Linked DNA regions of Ovis aries. The protein of the gene in region 1 binds, or shares a complex with, the protein of each later gene. Links are inferred from orthologs where the notes say so. Each region holds a gene or a part of one and is shown on either strand. Other genes may lie near its edges.

Region 1 (10,617 bases):
TCGTGAATGGGATTGTTTTCTGTATAGAAACAACAGATTTTTGTAATTGATTTTGTATTCTGCAGCTCTGTTGACTTGCTTATTATTTCTAACATCTTTTTGATGGAGTCTTTACAGTTTTCTATTTATAATAGGGTTTTCTGTTTTGTCGTCTACAAATAATGACAGTTTTACTTCTTTCTTTCCTATTTGGATGCCCTTCTTTTCCTTGCCCTGTTGCTGTAGCACTTCCAACACTTTGTTGAATAAAAGTGGTGTGGCATCCTTATCTTTTTTTTGGTCTTAGAGGAAATGCTTTCAGCTTTTTACCATTGAGTATCAGAAACACTGGGCTGGAAGAAGCACAAGCTGGAATCAAGATTGCTGGGAGAAATATCAATAACCTCAGATATGCAGATGACACCACCCTTATGGCAGAAAGTGAAGAGGAACTAAAGAGCCTCTTGATGAAAGTGAAAGAGGAAAGTGAACAAGTTGGCTTAAAGCTCAACATTCAGAAAATGAAGATAATGGCATCCAGTCCCATCACTTCATGGGAAATAGATGGGGAAACAGTGGAAACAGTGTCAGACTTTATTTTGGGGGGCTCCAAAATCACTGCAGATGGTGATTGCAGCCATGAAATTAAAAGACACTTACTCCTTGGAAGGAACGTTATGACCAACCTAGATAGCATATTGAAAAGCAGAGACATTACTTTGTTGACTAAGGTCCATTTAGTCAAGGCTATGGTTTTTCCAGTAGTCATGTATGAATGTGAGAGTTGGACTGTGAAGAAAGCTGAGTGCCGAAGAATTGATGCTTTTGAACTGTGGTGTTGGAGAAGACTCTTGAGAGTCCCTTCTACTGCTAGGAGATCCAACCAGTCCATTCTGAAGAAGATCAGCCCTGAGATTTCTTTGGAAGGAATGATGCTAAAGCTGAACTCTAGTACTTTGGCCACCTCATGTGAAGAGTTGACTCATTGGAAAAGACTGATACTGGGAGGGACTGGAGGCAGGAGGAGAAGGGGATGACAGAGGATGAGATGGCTGGATGGCATCACCGACTCAATGGACATGAGTCTGAGTGAACTCCAGGAGTTGGTGATGGACAGGGAGGCCTGGCGTGCTGCGATCCATGGGGTCGCGAAGAGTCGGACACGACTGAGTGACTGAACTGAACTGAAAACATCAATGTATCCCTGGAGTAAATCCCACCTAGTCATGGTGTATGATTCAGTGTGTTCTTGAATTCAGTTTGCTGATGTTTTGTTGAGGATTTTTACATTTATGTTCATCAGGGATGACAGCCTGTGATTTTTTTTGCTTATGGTTTCTTTGTCTGGTTTTGATATCAGGATGATGATGGCTTCACAAAATGCATTTGAAAGAATTTTCTTTTTGTCTGATTTTTGGAAGAATTTGAAAAGGAAAGATTAGTATTAACTCTTTAAATGTTTGATTTAATTCAACTGGACTTTTGTTTGTTGGGAGGTTTTTGATTCCTTATTAAATTTCCATATTACTGTCTTTTCACATTTTCTATGTCATCATGATTTAATCTTGTTAGGTTGTCTTTTTCTAGGGATTTATTTCTTATGGGTTGTCTGATTTGTTGGTGTGAAATTTTTCATAGTTACCTTTTATGATTCCTTATATTTCTGCGGTATCAGTTGCAGTATCTTTTATTTCTGACTTTGAGTCTCTTTTTTTCCCCTTAGGTCTAGCTGGAAGGTTATTGGTTTTAAAGAGCCAGCTTTTAATTTCATGGATTCTTTTTTCTATTTCTTTTTAGTCTCAATTTCATTTATTTCCACACTGATCTTTATTATTTGCTTCCTTCTACTAACTTTGGGTTTTGTTTTTTCTTCTTTTTGATGCAATTCTAAATGGGACTGTTTAGTATATAGAAACACAACAGATTTTTGGTGTAAAGTTGTTTGAGATTTTTCTTTATTTCTTTAGGTTGGCATTTGTTGCTATGAACTTAACTCCTCGAACTGATTTTGCTACATCTAATGTACATTTGGTTTGTTGTATTTCTGTTTATCTTTGTGTTGGGTATTTTTAAAATTTCTCTTTTGATTTCTAGAATGATATTCTACAGTGAAAACTAGTATAGGAAATTGTATAATCTTGGCTTTCAAGGTTATGTTTGTACCTAGTCCTAACACTTAACAGTGTATGTTGATTGTGAGCATAACATGCTCATTCTATCTTACTTTATTTTTTTAATGTCTAAATTCAGAGGTAATATGTTTCCTATGCTTCGTCCTAAGTATAGTCTCACAATATTTCTCCACTTTAATAAGAGTTTCCTTGAATAAAAATAAGTGAGCAAGGAACACTAAGTTAAGCTTTTTTATGGGGTTAATTAAAAGTATTCTTATAACTAAAATAAAAGTACCATAGTTATGTGCTCAGTTCTGGTTTTATAAAGCATATGGTATATAAAACGGTCTGTGATCTTTTTATAAGTTAAATTGTAGATAAAGTTTATGTTACTCAATTTCATGTGATTGGAAATAATTTCTTTACAGAATTTAGATAATTCAAGTATGGCTCTAAGGTATGACCTGTGTTTTCAACATACTATTTCTAGGATAAAGTTAGAACAGTTAATTTTTTTTAAACTCTTGACTCCAACTTTCTATACCTTTTCTTCTCTTAAAAGTTGAATTTGTAAGCCCTTTTCTGTAGCTGTTACTAGTTGGAAGATCTCATTTAGTTGTATTTGCCTGCTTTATAATGCAGAGGAAAGTGAGGAGACCTTAAAAAACACCAAAGAAATTCAGAAAAAAGCTGAAGAAAAATATGAGGTGTTGGAGAATAAAATGAAAAATGCTGAAGCTGAAAGAGAGAAAGAACTGAAGGATGCACAGAAAAAACTAGATTGTGCCAGAACTAAAGCAGATGCTTCTAGCAAAAAAATGAAAGAAAAACAACAGGTAATTTTTTTTAATAGAATTAATCTTTTAACATCAGCGTAGAACTGAAGGGTGGTAGAGCACCATTGGTTGACATGGCCTTCTTCATCGATATGTGTCACAAATCAAAAAGTGAGAGACAAAGTTGCTTGATAAAGGTTTGATTTTGATAATGTTTCATTCAGGAGTGGACCAAAGCTTGTATCATGTAAGCCAAGCTGTGTCTTATCAGAGAATCACTGTTGACGTTTCTGTTTGGTGATCATCTGTTTGAACAGACACTGTGAAGGAATAATGATGGCAAAGCATGTTATATTTGCAGTGCTATTCAGTTGTAGACTATTTTGGATAGTTTCAAGGCTGGAATTTGAACCTATGTTTTTCTGTTTACAAAGAAGGCTACATGCTCAATCACTATTCTATACAATTTCACTATTGAATACAGTTTCACTTAAATCTAACTTTGCTTCACAGTTCTTTTTAAACCCACCTTATGATTCTACTATTAAATATTTAGCTTTATACAAAGCATTTTGTAAAGAACTAAAGGCTATAATGGGAAAGAAGAGAAGCTATTTTTTTTTGTCATTAAATAATTGTTTAAAAAAGGTTTTTAACCTCTCCTAATTTATCTGCTATATAGAATTCTGTATTATTTTTCTCTATAGGAATAAAAGGATGAAATAGTTTATGCAGAGTTCTTTGAACCCATAAAAATTGTATGTACATTTTTTAATATAGAAAAATAAATTCATTTTCCCTTTTTCTTCTTTGGAAGCAGCTTACATGTTTTCAGTAATTGAGTAAGCTATGGTCCTTACTTGCTTAAGTATCTTATTAGTTTTGCTGAAGTGAAGTCGCTCAGTCATGTCCGACTCATTGTGACCCAATGGACTGTAGCCTACTGGGCTCCTCTGTCCATGGGATTTTCCAGGCAAGAATACTGGAGTGGGTTGCCATTTCTTTCTCCAGGGGAACTTCCCAACCCAGGGATCTAACCTGGGTCTCCCGCATTGTAGGCAGACGCTTTACTGTCTGAGCCACAGTAGTTGGTAACTATTGAATGCCCAGATGCTGTGTTTTTTATAGGAAGTTGAAGCTATCACCCTGGAGCTGGAGGAGCTCAAGAGAGAGCATGCATCCTATGAACAACAGCTTGAAGCTGTAAAGGAAGCTATCATATCCTACGAGGGTCAGATTGCAGTAATGGCCTCTGAGGTGGCTAAAAATGAGGTGAGAGTGATTTAACCACATTAGAGAAATACAGATATCAGTCTGCTTCTGAAATGGTGGCTTAAAGATGTTTGACTTCAGAGGTCTCAGTCTCTTCACCCCTGTCATGATGAGAGGGAAAATGATGACTACCAATCAGAAAGAGTCCTGAAATAATATCACTAATTGTTTTAGTCCAGGTCTATTGGAAAATGAAAACACCCAGTAATTTGACCAGGCCGAGTTTAAATAAAAATTATTAACTATAACAGGAATTTGGAATGATGTATGACTGGATTGCTAAGGGGTAGAGAAAACTCTAAAGAATGAATAGCAGATATAGGAGCAGTTATTACCTATAAGCTGAAGCAGTGCACCCCCAGAAGGAACAAATCTGGAAAAGAGCCCCATTCTACCTGCAAGGCTGATAACTACATGTAGTTGGAAAACACATTATTGTGGCCCTCTGGTGGTGGGGTTTGGTGTAGTAGGGAAACCATGCTGAGCAAAGTGCTGCACAGGACATCTGCTGGGAAAACAGCTTTCTGGGACACCAGGGGGACTGGCCACAGGGAGGTGCCCAGCCTGTGAACAGGCTGCAAAGACTGCTGCTGGGTATGCCATGTAAGTGACAACCTTGCCTTTGAGAAAAGCACATCAGAACCAAGAAGTGAAGCCCCTTCCTTCTCCAGTGTCCCTAAAGCATCCTTTACTGATGAGGCTTCATATTGTTACACTCGGCAAGGGAGAGTTGTTCCCATCTCAGAAGCAGGCAGTGAAGGGTGGATTTGGGGTACGAGGTTTCATGTTGTGAAGATATTTCTATTTCCTGCAAATATTAGAAATGCTCCCTCATGAATATTGGATACCCTCTTGACCCTTTCTTTGATTTTGACCTTGAATTCTGTTTTGTTTCATTATTTCTACTCATACTTTTTAAAACTCAGATTTAATTGGCATAACATTTATATTGGTTTCAGGTGTACAATATAATGGTTCAACATTTTAATATATTGTGAAATGATCACCCCATAGCAGGTTTTTTTCTTGTGATGAGAACTTTTTAAGATGTGCTGTCTTAGCAACTTTGAAATACATAGTAGTAGTTATTATTACTACTGTCACCATGCCCTACAAAGTGTAACCACCTTTGGTTTTTTGATACACCTTTTTGTTGTTGTTGTTAGTTTTCTGTTCTGTTGCAGTTATGTACTTTTTGTAGGTCATGTTAACTAAAATGTAATAGCTTCTAACAGGGGCATTCCATCCATTTACCTAGGATATAGTAAAGTGTGTTTTTTTTGCCTTTTGTCCTCTACTTTTACATTTCCTGTTACATTTTTTCCTTGAGATGATTGTTTTAATTGCTGTAGTGTGCATTGTTTTAGAAAGTAGTTCTTTTCTCTTCTATTTGTGGTTAAACTCAAGGGTTTTTTTTAACACATTATCAAATCAATAGCAGAACAATTTTTTAACTATCTTTTTGAATCAGGGTTCAAAATGCTTTTCAGCTTTGTGTTTTGTCTTGCTGATTACCTTTTCTACAGTTTCTTTTCTGCCTTCTGACTTGCCTTTTTGTCTCATTCCTCCATATCTTCTACCATCTTTCATGGACGTCATGTTGTGGAATTTTTTTTAAAATTAGATGTCATATTTTTAAAGAGAAATGTGGAAGTAAAATAAGTCACTTCTTCCTTGATCTAAATAATGATAAAATCAAAAGCATATACATATTTCGATAAAGAGAATATCTATTTTTCTATGGAAAACTATAAAATGTATCTCTAAGTTTGTAAATGTTGTTCTTTTAGTCTCTATATTCTAAATTGTTTCTGTTTGCCCTCTTAGGGAGCTAAGAAGATAAATTGCCTTCAAATTAATTATGTTCAAACGAAACTAAAAACTTTGGCTCAATCTGAAGTGATAGATATCCTTGTTTTTCTCTTAACCATTGTAGATTGAAACAGTTACACCTATGACACCATCTTCAGTCTTTAGGTGTGAGAGAATCAGCTTAATAAACATGTTTTTGTCATGCGCTTTTGTTTTGGATTTTTTAGATGAATGCTGAGATTTAACTTCCTCCTGCAAAGGACCTTTTATGACACAAACATTATAAAGAAATTACTTATGTCATGTTCAATAACTTAACCATAATGTCAGGTATTGTTTATCGCTCAAAATTATCTTGTTTTCTAATGAGCATGCCTTAAAAAATTCCTAAATTTTTACTGACGCTTATCGTCACTTCAAGATATCTATTCTTCCTCAGTCTTTTAGCAAGTTGTTCTACTCTTTGTTTTTCCCTACCTAAATCTGAATTGAGCTAGGTTCTTTTTTTTCAGATGTTTGTGTGAGTTTGTGACCATATCTTTACCAGAAAGACCTTTAAGATCTAGCAAAGAACTTTCATGGGGAGGAGGTGAGAGTTGGTAGACTAAATCCCAGCTGTAATTTTCACTTCGGAGACAAACCGATGATACTAAAAGAGTGAGAAGTTTTTCTTTGTGCCACAGATATGTTTCTTCAAAAAGTTTCTCTTCCTCTTCCATATCTCTGTTTTAACCCCTGTGCTAGAACTAAACACCCTGACCTTTTGTTGCCACTGTCAGAGGCCTTATGGCTTACTTCTGTAGAAGGGAAAGGAACCAATGCCAGCTTACCTTACTTCCACCTCCATTCTTTGCCTTCATAATAAATGGCATTTGGGGGTCTGTCATATTATTTTGTAACCACCACCAGAATCCCACTCTTTTGAGAGACCGTACAGGGCAAATCCCAGTAACCCCTCCTCCACCTAGGTGATCCCAGTTTTACTGTGTCACAGGAACTTTGTTGCTTCCAGCATGAACAATGCATCGCATCCCTTTTTCCGTAGTGGTAATACAAGTTTTATTTGTAAATGTGTTAGTCATTTTCATGGGGATATAAAATGTAGAAGGTTAGATGACACATTGCCTGTGTCACATAGAAGTCTGTTGGATGATCTTTCAGTAAACCAAAAAATGTCTCCATCTTACCTTGCTGTATGTTATCTTGTAATTATTCATTGCAGGAGTTAGTAAACAAAGCTCAGGAAGAGGTGACCAAGCAAAAAGAAGTGATAACAGCCCAAGACAACATAATTAAAGCTAAATATGCAGAAGTAGCAAAACACAAGGAGCAAAACAATGACTCTCAGCTTAAAATTAAGGAACTGGACCATAACATCAGCAAACATAAACGGGAAGCTGAAGATGCTGCTGCAAAGGCATGTTTGTATTGTTCACTTTTATTTTTAATCAAATTTTTGCCTCTGGGTTTTTGAAATGTTCTGGTAAAGTGCTCAGTGAAGAACTTAACTGTAAATGGCAGAACTACTGTGTAACAATTTTGAGGCATGCAACTATGACTGCTTCTCAGCAGTCACCAAATGGCAAAAATGTTTTATTTTTAAATTTAATCTCAGGGGCTTTATTCCCATCTCCAAGATGTTTTTAACCAAATATTGAATGGCCTCCCATGGAAATGACTGTTTTTTTTAATCCCCAGTTGTTCATAGAACTAATTACTAATGTATTAATAGTAGTAATATGTATTCTTTACCTAATTGCAAATTGAATTTAGGGAACTCACAGAGAAGTATCCACAAGGTACTTCTGAAGTAAGGACTTAGTTGGTTTAGGATATCCTTATGAGGGTTAGTATAGTCAATGTTCGAAGTCTCATTTGAAATCTGACATTTTGCCAGGCAGTGTCTTTGAAGTTATCCCACAGTTTATTGGTCACTCTTAATTAAAATTTCTTTCATGTATCACAGTAACCTAAGTACTTTAAAGAAAATACATAGTTTTGCAGGAATTCATTGCTTAGTTAGGAGGCTTCATTTATGTGGTTTTAATAATTCACTCATCATGTTTTCTTACTGGTGTGTAACAGTTTGGTGCCTTTTAAATCTTTTTTAGCATCATAAAAGTACAAGAGATTTAATTTCAAAAAGATGAGAACATACAAAACAGTCTTCCACCCTTTTCTGCAAGAGCCATGATTGCCTGTTCAGGTTCATTACTTTGTTTAAAAAGCATTTTTTTAATGACCACATGATAATATCCTAATATTTTATTAGTATTGATTTCCCATTTGCCTAGTAGCCTAGTATTAGTGGATTCACTGAACTATTACCAATGCTAATATTACTGTTAATAGGTTTTTTTAAAAATATAATTGACAATACTAGTATTGGTGGTTGCTAGGGGATTCTATTTACAGTTAAGTGAAGAGGGTACAAAGAGCGACTTGCAAGCAGAACTGCTAAAAAGTCAAGTATTCTTTAAAATACATAGTTTATCAAATATTTATTGTATACTTGTACCAGGCACTGACTTCCCTGGTGGTGCAGATGGTAAAGTATCTGCCTACAATGCAGGAGACCTGGGTTTGATCCCTGGGTCGGGAAGATCCCCTGGAGAAAGAAATGGCAACCCACTCCAGTACTCTTGCCTGGAAAATCCCATGGATGGAGGAGCCTGGTAGGCTACAGTCCATGGGGTCGCAAAGAGTCGGACACAACTGAGTGACTTCACTTTCACTTTACCAGGCACTAAAGATACAAGAATGAGCAACATGCCACAGAATGTGTTCATGGTGCTCACAGATGAGCAGGAAAAAAAGATAGACTAGAAATGACCATATTACTTTGAAGTCTGGTGGTGTGACTGTACTCATGGGATTAATAAGGATGATTGACAAGGATTAGCTTTCAGCAGTCAGTACCAATCTTAAACAGTTATAGTAGAAGAAAGTCTTCTTAAGCACTATAATTAAAAATCCTTAATGGTTATATTACATGAGTATTTTACTGTGCCTTGTCAATGAGGGTAGCAAGGGGATGGAGTCAATATTTAAGATAATGTTTTACTTAGATTATAATTTCAAGAATTATTAGGTACCAATCACGATTAGGCTTTCATGATTTTACAGTATCTATGACTTAAATATTCATATAAGACTAAACTTTCACAAGTTGTTTTTTTGAAGTAATACGTTGAATTTGGTAAAATCTGGAGCCTCATCTCATTATAATGGCAATGTTTACACACATACACACACCCGCATACACTTAACTGTTTCTCTGAGTTCACATTTATTTTGATGCTTAAGTAATATCTTTTTCTATTTTTTGTAGCCTATCCTCTAGATAAAAATATTCATACTTCTTACAGGTTCACAGTCAACAATGAGTCTCATTTTTTTTTCAAATGAGTCATTGTGGGATTTTCCTAAAAAATGTTTGTAAAAATTAGTAAATACTTAAGAAACTAATTTTTAAATATAGGTTTATGAGCAATGATATCATTCTATTATCATCTTTTGGCTAGGTATCCAAAATGTTGAAAGACTATGACTGGATTACTGTAGAAAAACACCTCTTTGGGCAACCCAATAGCACCTATGATTTCAAAGCTAACAACCCAAAAGAAGCTGGTGAGAGACTTCAGAAGTTGCAAGAAATGAAGGAGAAACTGGGAAGAAATGTCAACATGAGAGCCATGAATGTGCTGACTGAAGCTGAAGAGCGTGTAAGTCACTTTGCTCTGCCTGTGGCCGCTGCAAAACATGAGTAGCCTTGGTGGATTTTATGACCCCTGGCGTGTGTGCGCTCAGTCTGCAGCCCATGGACTGTAGCCCGCCAGGCTCCTCTGTCCTCGGGATTCTCCAGGAAAGAATACTGGAGTGGGTTGCCATTTGTGTCTCCAGCAGATATGACCCTTGAGACAATTATTAGAGTCAGTCTAATAATTTAGGCTTAAATTTTAGATTTAAAATCTTTGCTTTATGCTTTTGAAAATTTGTTTTGTGTTTTCCTTTTCTTCCTTTTCGGTTATTTCTTTTCTTATTTCATTCTTTTTGTTTCATCAGTTACCTGTTCTGCTGTGCTTAAATGACTTTTCCACTGGCTTTTGCTTTTGCTGTGAACATGTTCAACCCCTCTCTTATTTTTGGTTTAAATAAAAACACTTTCGATCTTGTTAACTCCTCACATTTTTACCATTTCTTTCACTTGTCTTTTTGAAAGGCTTTGAAGAAGACTCTACAGATTTTCCCCACTATCCAAAAAGTAGGGCATTCCTTTGAAACCCTTCCTATGCCGAAATGGTATAAAGCAAAAAAGCAATTACCGTAGGGCCCGTCTTGCTAACAGATGCACAGAGCAAACTGAAATAAAGCACAGATGCTTATAGACACAGTTCAAAGCTCTGGGAGGAGGTTTGATGCTGAGATGCTCAGTGTTGTTCCCATGAGGAGCTTGATGGTGCCACTCTCACTGCTTAGGGTGTGTCCTGCTTCTGTAAGAAATGGCTCACTGCAGCACACATGCTGAACGTTATTTGTGCTTTTTACCGTTTCTTGTAAAAGCAGTGATACAAAGTGAACTTTGAAAAAGTGAGAGAATACCTGTCTGTTCTAACCAGTGTCTTCCTTTGATTCAGTGTATTGCAAGAACCATTACATAAGTA
Region 2 (10,617 bases), on another chromosome or scaffold:
AGAGCTGCAGAGCTGCAAGCCAGGAGCTCACACAGGCGCAGCGCCTACCTTGGCATTGCGTGTTAATCCATAAAGCCAGGCCATGAAAGAAGCATATTCTGCACAGGGAAGCTTGTTGAGCAGCTGGACCAGGGACTGAGCTGCATAAGTCCGGTACTCAGACTTGTCGACCACCTGAAACACAGGCCCTGAGAAGCTGCCCCGCTGGTCCCCACGCAGGACAACAGAGACACAGGCCCTGAGAAGCTGCCCCGCTGGTCCCCACGCAGGACAACAGAGACACAGGCCCTGAGAAGCTGCCCCGCTGGTCCCCACGCAGGACAACAGAGACACGTGCATTGGTGGAAGCAGACGAGCGCCAAGTGCACCCCGCTCAGCAACAGTGCAAGTGTCTACATGCTACAGAAATGACTATCCAGTTCCACGCCTCAGACCTCCTGGGAAACTAGCCTAGGAGAGGTCTCCAAGCCTCAGACCTCCTGGGAAACTAGCCTAGGAGAGGTCTCCAAGCCTCAGACCTCCTGGGAAACTAGCCTAGGAGAGGTCTCCAAGCCTCAGACCTCCTGGGAAACTAGCCTAGGAGAGGTCTCCAAGCCTCAGACCTCCTGGGAAACTAGCCTAGAAGAGATCTCCAAGCCCGATTTCAGAGTTTACAGATCTCTAGGATCCACAGAGTTCAAGTGAAGCATCATCTGCCCAAATTGCTAAACATTTTAAGAGATATTCACAGAATTTTGAATGCTAACCAGACACTGGATGATATTAAGGCATTATTCTGAATTTTTTAGGTGTGTTAATATTTTGTGGATATGTTTTTAAAGAGGTCTTATGCTGTAGAGAGACACATGCAATATTTATGTCTGAAGGAGTATGATGAAATCTGCTTCCTAAGAAAATCCAGTGTGCCTATGTGCTGGCAGAGCTTTTCCTTATACAAAATCACTTAACATTCTGTTCATTACTCTGTTCTATATCTTTATATATTTGAAGATTTCTAAAAAGGAAAAAAAGTTGTTTTATCCCCCCCAAATACTCAAAGAGAACAGCAAACATACTAAACAGAAAAGACCACTCTTGGTAACGACACAGGCTCATTTCTGGGAACACTGATACATGCGTCTACTCTTGCGTGGTTTTCAGCCTCTTAACACTACAGCCAGCAGTACCTTGACACAGATGTGCTGCAGCAGAGTACGAAGGACCGGGTACATGCTTTCCTTAAGTTCATCTACCAGTACGCTTTAAAAAAGAAAAGAATCACTGTTTATAATACATCTATAATAAAAATAAAATAACAGCTTCCCCTAAACCTATTCTCAAAAACAGTGACACTTCTACATTGTAGAAAGCCTGACTACTAAGAGCAATCTGCGCCTGTGCTGGAAGCGAGGCCTGAGTGTGTGGAGTGTGAAGAGAGCGTCACAGCGGAGCACCGTTCCCCACGCCCGGGTGGTCTCCAAACTGCTCCCAGTAGCCAGTCAGGGAGGGGCAGGGCCCAGACCTCCCAAGACCCTTGGGCTGCTTACGACGGCTCTTACCAAGGCTGAAATAAGACCCCTCGTGGCTCAGCGGTAAAGAGTCCATCTCCCAGTGCAGTGCATGCAGATCCAACCCCTGACCCAGGAAGAACCCACAGGCACAGGGGCAATCGAGCCTGTGAGCCACGCCTCCTGAGCGCGTGAGGCACCTCCCCGTGCCGCAAGCCCTGAAGCCTGGGAGCCCTCGAGTCCACGCTCTGCAGCAAGACACCCACACAGGGTGATCAGAGTAGGCCCCTGTCGTCTCAGCTAGAGAGAGGCCCACGCGTGAGGCAGTTAAGCCCCAGAAGAGCCATAAATAAAGAAACAATGTTTCAAATGCGGCAAGCTTTCTCTGTGAAGAGCTTGACTTTGAAGTCAATGCCAGATTGAGACATAGTACTACCTTGTGGTAGGTCAGCAAAACGGATTTCTAACAGCACTTCTCCAAAGTTAACCCTCAAAGAAGCTATTAAAACGCCCAGACTCAACCCATCTTCAAGTTTATTCACGCCATTATAGAAATATGGCAATTACTGACATCACGAATACACGGAAAATTTAGAACAAGTGCTTCTACTCAAAACATCTTATTTGCTGTTTAAAAAAAATCCTTAAGGCTCACTCAGGGGCCAGACAGCACCTGTACCTGCATGCCAGCACCCACACCCGCACCCCACGCCCCGCACCCGCACCCCACACTGCACCAGCAACCTGCACCCCGTGCCCCGCACCCCATATCTGCACCCACAACCCACGCCCACACCCCGCACCCACGCCCGCACCTGGGCCTGCACCCTGCACGTGCGCCCGCGCCCTGCACCCACACCCTGCGCTCGCACCTGCACCCCACACCTGCGCCCGCACCCCGCGCCTGCGCCCCATGCCCCGCACCTGCGCCCCATGCCCCGCACCCCGCACCCCGCGCCTGCGCCCCATGCCCGCACCCCGCACCCCGCGCCTGCGCCCCATGCCCCGCACCCCGCGCCTGCGCCCCCATGCCCCGCACCCCGCACCCCGCGCCTGCGCCCCCATGCCCGCACCCCGCACCCCCGCGCCTGCGCCCCATGCCCCGCACCCCGCGCCTGCGGCCCATGCCCGCACCCCGCACCCCGCGCCTGCGCCCCATGCCCCGCACCCCGCACCCCGCGCCTGCGCCCCATGCCCCGCACCCCGCACCCCGCGCCTGCGCCCCATGCCCGCACCCCGCACCCCGCGCCTGCGCCCCATGCCCGCACCCCGCACCCCGCGCCTGCGCCCCATGCCCCGCACCCCGCACCCCGCGCCTGCGCCCCATGCCCCGCACCACGCACCCCGCGCCTGCGCCCCATGCCCCGCACCCCGCGCCTGCGCCCCATGCCCGCACCCCGCACCCCGCGCCTGCGCCCCATGCCCCGCACCACGCACCCCGCACCTGCACCCCATGCCTGCACCCCGCACCCCGCGCCTGCGCCCCATGCCCCGCACCACGCACCCCGCACCTGCACCCCATGCCTGCACCCCGCACCCCGCGCCTGCGCCCCATGCCCCGCACCCCGCACCTGCACCCCATGCCCCGCACCCCGCCCCCCCCGCCCGCGCCCCCATGCCCCGCACCCCGCACCTGCACCCCATGCCCCGCACCCCGCACCCCGCGCCTGCGCCCCATGCCCGCACCCCGCACCCCGCGCCTGCGCCCCATGCCCGCACCCCGCACCCCGCGCCTGCGCCCCATGCCCCGCACCACGCACCCACATCTGCGGCTGCGCCTGCACCCCGTGCCTGCCCAGGCACCGCTTCCGCTCACAGGCACGCTCTCCGCTGTCCCCACCACCTCCGTGCTGCTGTCAGACAGACAGAACCGAGGACAGAACAGCGAGTGATGTAGCGGCATCTCCTAGTAAAGCCCCGACATGGGACTTTGCAGGCAAAGCCTGCTGACTCGTGAGAAGATGAGTCTATCAATTATTGATAAAAAAGTTAAAAAAAAAAAGTGGCAAGGAACCTAAGGAAAGAGACTTAGAGGAGCCAGAAAGGCAGAGACAGACTTGGAGCAGCAGACACAGAGACCGCAGTCGGGACTCAGAGCTGGCCTCACCAGCGGGCCCACAGGCCACGAACCCCTCACCACCCCCAACAGCACCCCCTACACCACCCCTACACCACCCCCAACAGCACTGCCACACCACCCCCTACAGCACTGCCACACCACCCCCTACACCACCCCCAACAGCACCCCTACAGCACCCCTACAGCACCGCCTACACCACCCCCAACAGCACCCCTACAGCACCCCCTATACCACCCCTATAGCACCGCCTACACCACCCCCAACAGCACCTCCAACAGCACCCCTACACCACCGCCTACACCACCCCTATAGCACCCCCTACACCCCCAACAGCACCCCCTACACCACCCCCAACAGCACCCCTACACCACCCCCTACAGCACCCCCAACAGCACCTCCAACACCACCAACAGCACCCCCTACACCAACAGCACCCCTACACCACCCCTACAGCACCCCTAACAGCACCTCCAACACCACCCCCAACAGCACCCCTACATCACCCCCTACACCACCCCTACAGCACCCCCAACAACACCCCCTACACCACCCCTACAGCACCCCCTATACCACCCCCAACAACACCCCCTACAGCACCCCCAACAGCACTGCCACACCACCACCTACAGCACCCCCAACACCACCCCCAACAGCACCTCCAACACCACCCCCAACAGCACCCCCTACACCATGCCCAACAGCACCCCCTACACCACCCCTACAGCACCCCCAACAGCACCCCTACAGCACCCCCTACACCACCCCTAACAGCACCCCCTACACCATGCCCAACAGCACCCCCTACACCACCCCTACAGCACCCCCAACAGCACCCCTACAGCACCCCCTACACCACCCCAACAGCACCCCTACACCCCCAACAGCACCCCTACAGCACCCCCTACACCCCCAACAGCACCCCCTACACCCCCAACACCACCCGCTACACCACCCCCTACAGCACCTGCAACACCATCCCCTACACCACCCCTACAGCACGCCCAACAGCACCCCCTACACCACCCCTACCGCACAAGCCAGATGGGCTGCTATGCGCTTTATCCTGAACCACAAGCCACACACAGCCCAGACACGTGTCAGCTCCTCAGGTGTCAGAAGCCGCGGCTAGCACAGGGCCCAGGCTACTGAGGGCGAGTGACGGAGAGACGCGAGCTATGTGCCCTTTACCTTACAAACTGGATGGCCAGCTTCCTACTGCTGACAACCGGCGGCGTGATGGCAAGCGGGGTGTGATGGGAGCCTTTGCCCACTTCTACCATCAGTATTATGCAGAGCATTTGATGCAAAACGTATCTGAGAACCTGGAAGAGGAAAGGACATGCAGCTTAAGGCATGACAGAGAATCCCAGGGCCTTGCCAACTGTGACGCAGACCCCAGTGAGCTGTTTCAAGTGCCAGCAGGTAAAGGAGGTTGGCACAGGTTCTGGCGGACCACGAAGGGTGCGCCTGCTGCACAACGACCAGGTGTCATACCTGCACAAAACGAACAGTGCGGAGGTGCTGCCTACAGACTGATCAGCCGGATTCCACCCAGTTTCTCTGCTTGCCTTATACTCCAGCCCAGAAACCAGGGCTCGAGAATCAGCTGCAACTGAGCAAGGCCGAAGAATGCAACGGATTACCCCCCACAGGAAAGAGGAAGGGGATGATTCTCCACCTATGTTACAGCTGAAGCTTACAGAACACCTTCCCGTATATCATCTCACAGAATCTACTCAAAGGGTTAGCTTGTGCAACCAGTGAATAAAATAATTACTGGAAACCAAGGATGTGGCCGGTACTGCATTAAGCATGTCTCTGTACTACAAGATTTGACCATACTTACTCTGAAATCTCTCAACTCAATGAGGTCAGCAAAACATTTCCATTCTATACTTGATACTATTATTATCTCCACTTTATACATACCAAAAGACTTTGAAGATGAGCAGTCCCAAGTCAAGTAATCAAAGATAAGGCTACAACCACAGTCACCCAACATCAGGCCAACACTTTTGCAATGAAAAACACCCTGTCCTTAGAGACACTGCCACCTGAAAGGGTAATTTCCCATCCTCTGCACTTTCTACTCTACAATGCTAAAAAGGGCACAGAAATTAAAAGTTTTACTGTAAATGCTATCACATATTCCAGACACAGGGAAGAGATAATGACATCAAAAATTAAAGAAGGATGGGGTGTTTTCTAAACAGCAGGCATTACGCCGAGGCACTCTTCCCTGCAGTCCTCCTGAGAAATCCACAGGAAGGGAAGGCCCTCATCCTCCTTGTCCAGGTGAGGATACCAAGGACTCATGGAGGACACACAGGGCTTCTTCTGTGGCTCAGTGGTGAGGAATCCCTCTGCCAATGCAGGGGACACCGGGTCAACCCCTGGTCTGGGAGGATCCCACATGCCTCAGAGCAACTAAGCCAGTGCTCCACGAGATGCCACTGCACCGCAATCAGAGAGCAGCCCCCACTCACGGCGACTGAGAGAAAGCCTGCTCGCAGCCGCAAAGACCCAGCACAGCCAAAAATAAGTTGGAATGTTTTTTCTTTTTAAAGGGAGACACACAGCAGTGAGGCGTAGGACCCAAGTGCGGAGCCCACGTGCCCAGGGCCTCCTCACCCCGCTCCCTGGAAACCAGGGCACTGCAGGCGCTGAAGGCAAGGGCCTTGGTCTGCCATGTTTTCTGCAGACTCCTGCTGCACTAACGACATTCAGGTTCAGTAACACCCCAGGGCTCACAAAGCCCTGACCCCAGTGTCTAGGGCTGTGCGGCTCTGAAGGTCACCACAGGCAAATCCAGATATGAATGCTGACCAGGAGTGTCAGCAGAATCATCCACTAAGGCACAGACGCTAACAGGAACACAGGGGCAGAGGGGCCTGCGGGGGAGCTGTAAGGCCCCATGGCTGTCTGTCCTCCCAGAGGACTCTGGAATCATCTGCTAAAGCACAGACGCTAACAGGAACACAGGGGCACGGGGCCTGCGGGGGAGCTGCAAGGCCTGTGGCTGTCTGCCCCCCAGAGGGCTCTGGTGAGCGCTCGAGCGGCAGCCCTGCCCAGCAGCTTTCCTGCGCCTCTGCAGGCCCCGCTGGGGCCTGCTTTATGCCTGAGCTCAACAAGAGTGTCCTGCGGCACCAGGGGCCTGGGTATGAGCCTGTAGCGAGCAGCGGCCACCACGTGCTGACGGGCGCTTCTCATCACAGACACCAACGACCCAGCGAGTTCACACAGCATCGCACTGAGTCCTTGCAGCACTTCTAGTCACACGACCCGTGTGCTTTCAATTCCCTGTAACTCAGCTCCTGTCTCCTTTACCGTGTCTCCTTCTCTGTGAAGAGGGGAACAAAGCAGATACAGTCCATGGTAGGCCAGTTCTGGTATATACTTCATTTCTCTGAGAACTCTAAAAAAAAAGGCAAAAGATTAGTTAATGGATGTGATTTCACTAGGATAAACTCCTAACCCTATCAGCCTTATTTAAATGAATGAATTCTACCTGTGTGCCAATCAGGATAGAATGACATTCACACCTCTGCTGCAGCGAAACATCTCACCATAATTAAACGTTAGCACCGGGGGATTTAATTGCTCACCTGGCTTGTGTAACCTGGAACTCGTAACGAACTGGTTCAAAACTAGTTAACGCAACAAAGACCTGGAAAACAGACACCAAGAAAAGGCCTGATTTTTCCCACTCTCTTTGAACTTGCCCAAGGTCCCTGGCATTCTCACTTACCTCCACACAATTCTGTATACACTCTGGCTTTTCCTTTAAGGAGAATTTAGAAAGAAGCCTTATAAAGTTCTTCAAAACTTGAAAGAGGACATTTCGAATCTGACGACGATCTTCAGAAGAATAAAAAACACCCTCTTCATCCTCTTCTTCTTGAGTAGTTTCATCCATCTAGATTATGCGGAAACACACAGCCGACTGCAGCACTGCCTCGCAGCCTGTCCGAGGTTTGCAATGTCCCTGAGTCAAGGCCAGTGGACTCTAGGGGGCCTCCCTGGGCCCCATGGCTTCAAGCTCAGTCTGGACCACATGAAGGCTACCACAGCTTCTGGGTCCGGATTTTCACATCAGTGAGACTGCCTGGGTTTCTTACCAGTTCTGGTGTCAACGAACCTCTACCCAGTCACACAAGAATTTGGAATTAATGCTATTCTATTATGTTCTTGTGGACATGAGTCCTCTGGACACTTCAACCATGGTCTCTAATGAAAATAAGGTAACACCTGCTGGCCTGCGGCGAGGCACACCTGGGAACAGACTGGAGGGAGGCAACAGGGAGGTTGGAAGACGGCACGGGGAACAGAGGCTCAGCAGGCCACGAGGCCACGCCTAGGGGAGGGAAGGCGGACAGCACGCTAGAGCTTTGGTATAATCATGACCCCCGACATCCTAACTTGATATAAATCCTTACACGAGTCAGACGCGCTTCCTGGCCACACCCCCGCTTACCTCCACCTCCTCTCTCCTGTGGGGTCTTGCCCTCTTACTGCTCTCCTGCGAGTTGCCCTGAGTGTTCTTTGGTTGCTCTTTCTTTCTTTTCTGATTCAAGCTGGATTCCTGAGGCCAGCACTTCTTTAGAATCTGAATGCATTTGTCAAATATCACTGGATGGAAAACTTGATTGACTACGCTGCCTATTTGTAAAGAATAAAGAGTAAGCAAGGTAGGTTTAATTGCTTTGAAATATATCTGCTACAACAATGAAATATTTAAAAACAAACGCAGGCTTTTCCTTAACTAACAGGAACCTTTAGCAAAAAAGTTTAATTCAACTTCCACCCTAGGCAACGAGCAGTCAGTTCAGTTCAGTCGCTCAGTTGTGTCCGACTCTTTGCAACCCCACGGACTGTGGCACGCCAGGCCTCCCTGTCTATCACCAACTGCTGGAACTTGCTCAAACTCATGTCCATCAAGTTGGTGATGCCATCTGACCATCTCATCCTCTGTCATCCCCTTCTCCTCCTGCCTGCAATCTATCCCGGCATCAGGGTCTTTTCAAATCAGTCAGCTCTTTGCATCAGGTGGCCAAAGTATTGGCATTTCAGCATCAGTCCTTCCAATGAATATTCAGGACTGATCTCCTTTAGGATGGACTGGTTGGATCTCCTTGCAGTCCAAGGGACTCTCAAGAGTCTTCTGCAACACCACAGTTCAAAAGCATCAATTCCTCAGTGCTCAGCTTTCATTATAGTCCCAACTCTCACATCCATACATGACTACTGGGAAAACCACAGCTATGACTAGACGGATCTTTGTCAGCAGAGTAATGTCTCTGCTTTTTAATATGCTGTCTAAGTTGGTCATAGCTTTTCTTCCAATTCTCAGATCATAGGAGTAGGTCCCTAACATTTACTACAAAGGCACCGACATAAGCAATTACAAGCAGCAGGTTGACTGACCCTGATTTTCTCTCTGGTGGACTCGCAGTCCCACAGCTGCAGCTGACTCCTCAGCCGCACCGTCTCCTGCCCTGGGCTCGGGGCGGGTCCCGCCTGGACGAGGTGGGGCACCATCCCAGACACACTCCTCCCTGGGCTCCCTCACTGTGACTAGCTGTGCTCAGCCCTGCAGGTGAGGACAGCCCACCGACCGTCCACACGACACAGCGGGAAGAGCAGCAGCCCTCCAACCAGCACTGTTCTCAGGCTGGACAGGAGTGAGAAGGCAGGGACACCACGAAGGCACGGGGCACGCCCCTCCAGCCTTACCCCTCTGGGACTGTGTGCTGGGTTACAGACTTAGCACGGTAACATCCGAAGCCACATTTACAGGAAAACAGGGGAGCTTTCTGAACACCTGTGACAGACCATGGGCTTCACAGATTCACTGTCACCTAACCTCCCAGCAAGGACAAAGCATTGATGTAACAGTTCAAAACCAAGCAGACAAATTACAAACAGAAGGCCTGCCCCATCACACCAAACGTGCATACCTGGTACTTCCAACAGCAGAAAATACAGCCCGGCGGCGTGAAGGCCAAATTCCTGCTGCTGAGCACTGACATTTTTCTTAAGGGCCTTATAAACGAAGTGGTGAAACAAGGCCATCAGCGCATTGTGGGAAATTCTGTTCTCCACGAAGAAGGTCCAAATGCTCTAGGGGAGGGCAAACGGTAAGCACCAGTCGTTAGAGCGCTGTGAGAGTCTCCTCTTGCTGTTTCTGATTCTTCTGAGTGCTTAGTGCCCTATAAAAAAACGAACAGACCATTCTGCCTCCTAATTATAAACGTCTGCCATTTTCAAAGGGACTAAAACAGAACATTTAAAAGTGTATTATTCAAAATTTACAAAGTTGAGGAGTTTCCTGGTGGTCCAGTGGTTAGGACTCCATGCCTTCACTGGGGAGAGTCTGGGTTCCATTACTGGTTTGGAACTAAGATCCCACAAGCTGAGTGGCTCAGCCAATAAAAGAAAAAGTAAACGAAAATCACAAAGATAAGAAACTATACAAGAATCTTAATTAAACTTGCAAAATAACTTTGGGTAAGTTTGAAGCGTATGTATTTCTGAAATTACTACACCTGAAAGCTACACTAAGACTCTGGGGACACCTCTGTCAGTGATTACTCAGACAAGTCACCCCTCCATCTATGTTAAATGTATCTCAATCCATTTATTACTCTAATTACTAACTAAAAAAATCAGAGCAACTTTTTTTAAGTCAAAATGTTTTGTGGGCAATGGGAGCAGGAGAGGAAAACCTGTGAGTGTCTCGCTCAACAGACTGCAGAAACAGCCTCGGTAGGAGAGGAAGTAAGCCTTAGACCACAAACCATATTTTCATTACTTTGATCACTATTCACGCTTTCCCCTCTTATAGACATGAGGAGGAAATAGCTTATTTGAGTAAAGCAAACAGTAGGAGCGAAATATGGCTCACTATGGGCCACCTTAAAAAACAGAAGCCCACAGAAGCTCAAGAAATCAGACCTCGACAACCTCTTTCCTTCACCACGAAGCTTGTGGAAGAAAGCAGTTACATCTTCATTTCTAAGGCCACCTCAGCTCCCCTCCCGCTGCCTGGAA

What was found. The genes of interacting proteins can lie anywhere in the genome.
Region 2: the proteins of SMC2 (region 1) and NCAPD3 are in contact, whole or in part, in a cryo-EM structure (PDB 9F5W), measured with the Homo sapiens proteins. The link is inferred for Ovis aries from reciprocal best matches to the Homo sapiens genes SMC2 and NCAPD3. Residues at the interface, in NP_001036015.1 of Homo sapiens: Arg112, Ala122, Asn123, Asn124, Thr125, Arg126, Leu218, Lys222, Arg225, His229, Trp940, Asn942, Ala943, Glu944, Phe948, Arg981, Met985, Arg986; in NP_056076.1 of Homo sapiens: Asp31, Met72, Ile80, Pro127, Gly128, Ala131, Phe135, Pro137, Asp141, Lys235, Gln237, Gln240, Leu1121, Asn1196, Asn1200, Pro1203.

Annotation. Positions count from the first base shown.
Region 1 is NC_056055.1:18,960,390-18,971,006, reverse strand, and holds part of SMC2 (structural maintenance of chromosomes protein 2), read left to right. Parts: intron 1-2,735; coding exon 2,736-2,929; intron 2,930-3,997; coding exon 3,998-4,141; intron 4,142-7,175; coding exon 7,176-7,370; intron 7,371-9,477; coding exon 9,478-9,678; intron 9,679-10,617. UniProt on the Homo sapiens protein: Central component of the condensin complex, a complex required for conversion of interphase chromatin into mitotic-like condense chromosomes.
Region 2 is NC_056068.1:82,059,679-82,070,295, forward strand, and holds part of NCAPD3 (condensin-2 complex subunit D3), read right to left. Parts: intron 9,777-10,617; exon of another isoform or gene 9,688-9,776; coding exon 9,525-9,687; intron 8,227-9,524; coding exon 8,042-8,226; intron 7,484-8,041; coding exon 7,316-7,483; intron 7,235-7,315; coding exon 7,173-7,234; intron 6,983-7,172; coding exon 6,895-6,982; intron 4,890-6,894; coding exon 4,756-4,889; intron 1,240-4,755; coding exon 1,167-1,239; intron 175-1,166; coding exon 49-174; intron 1-48.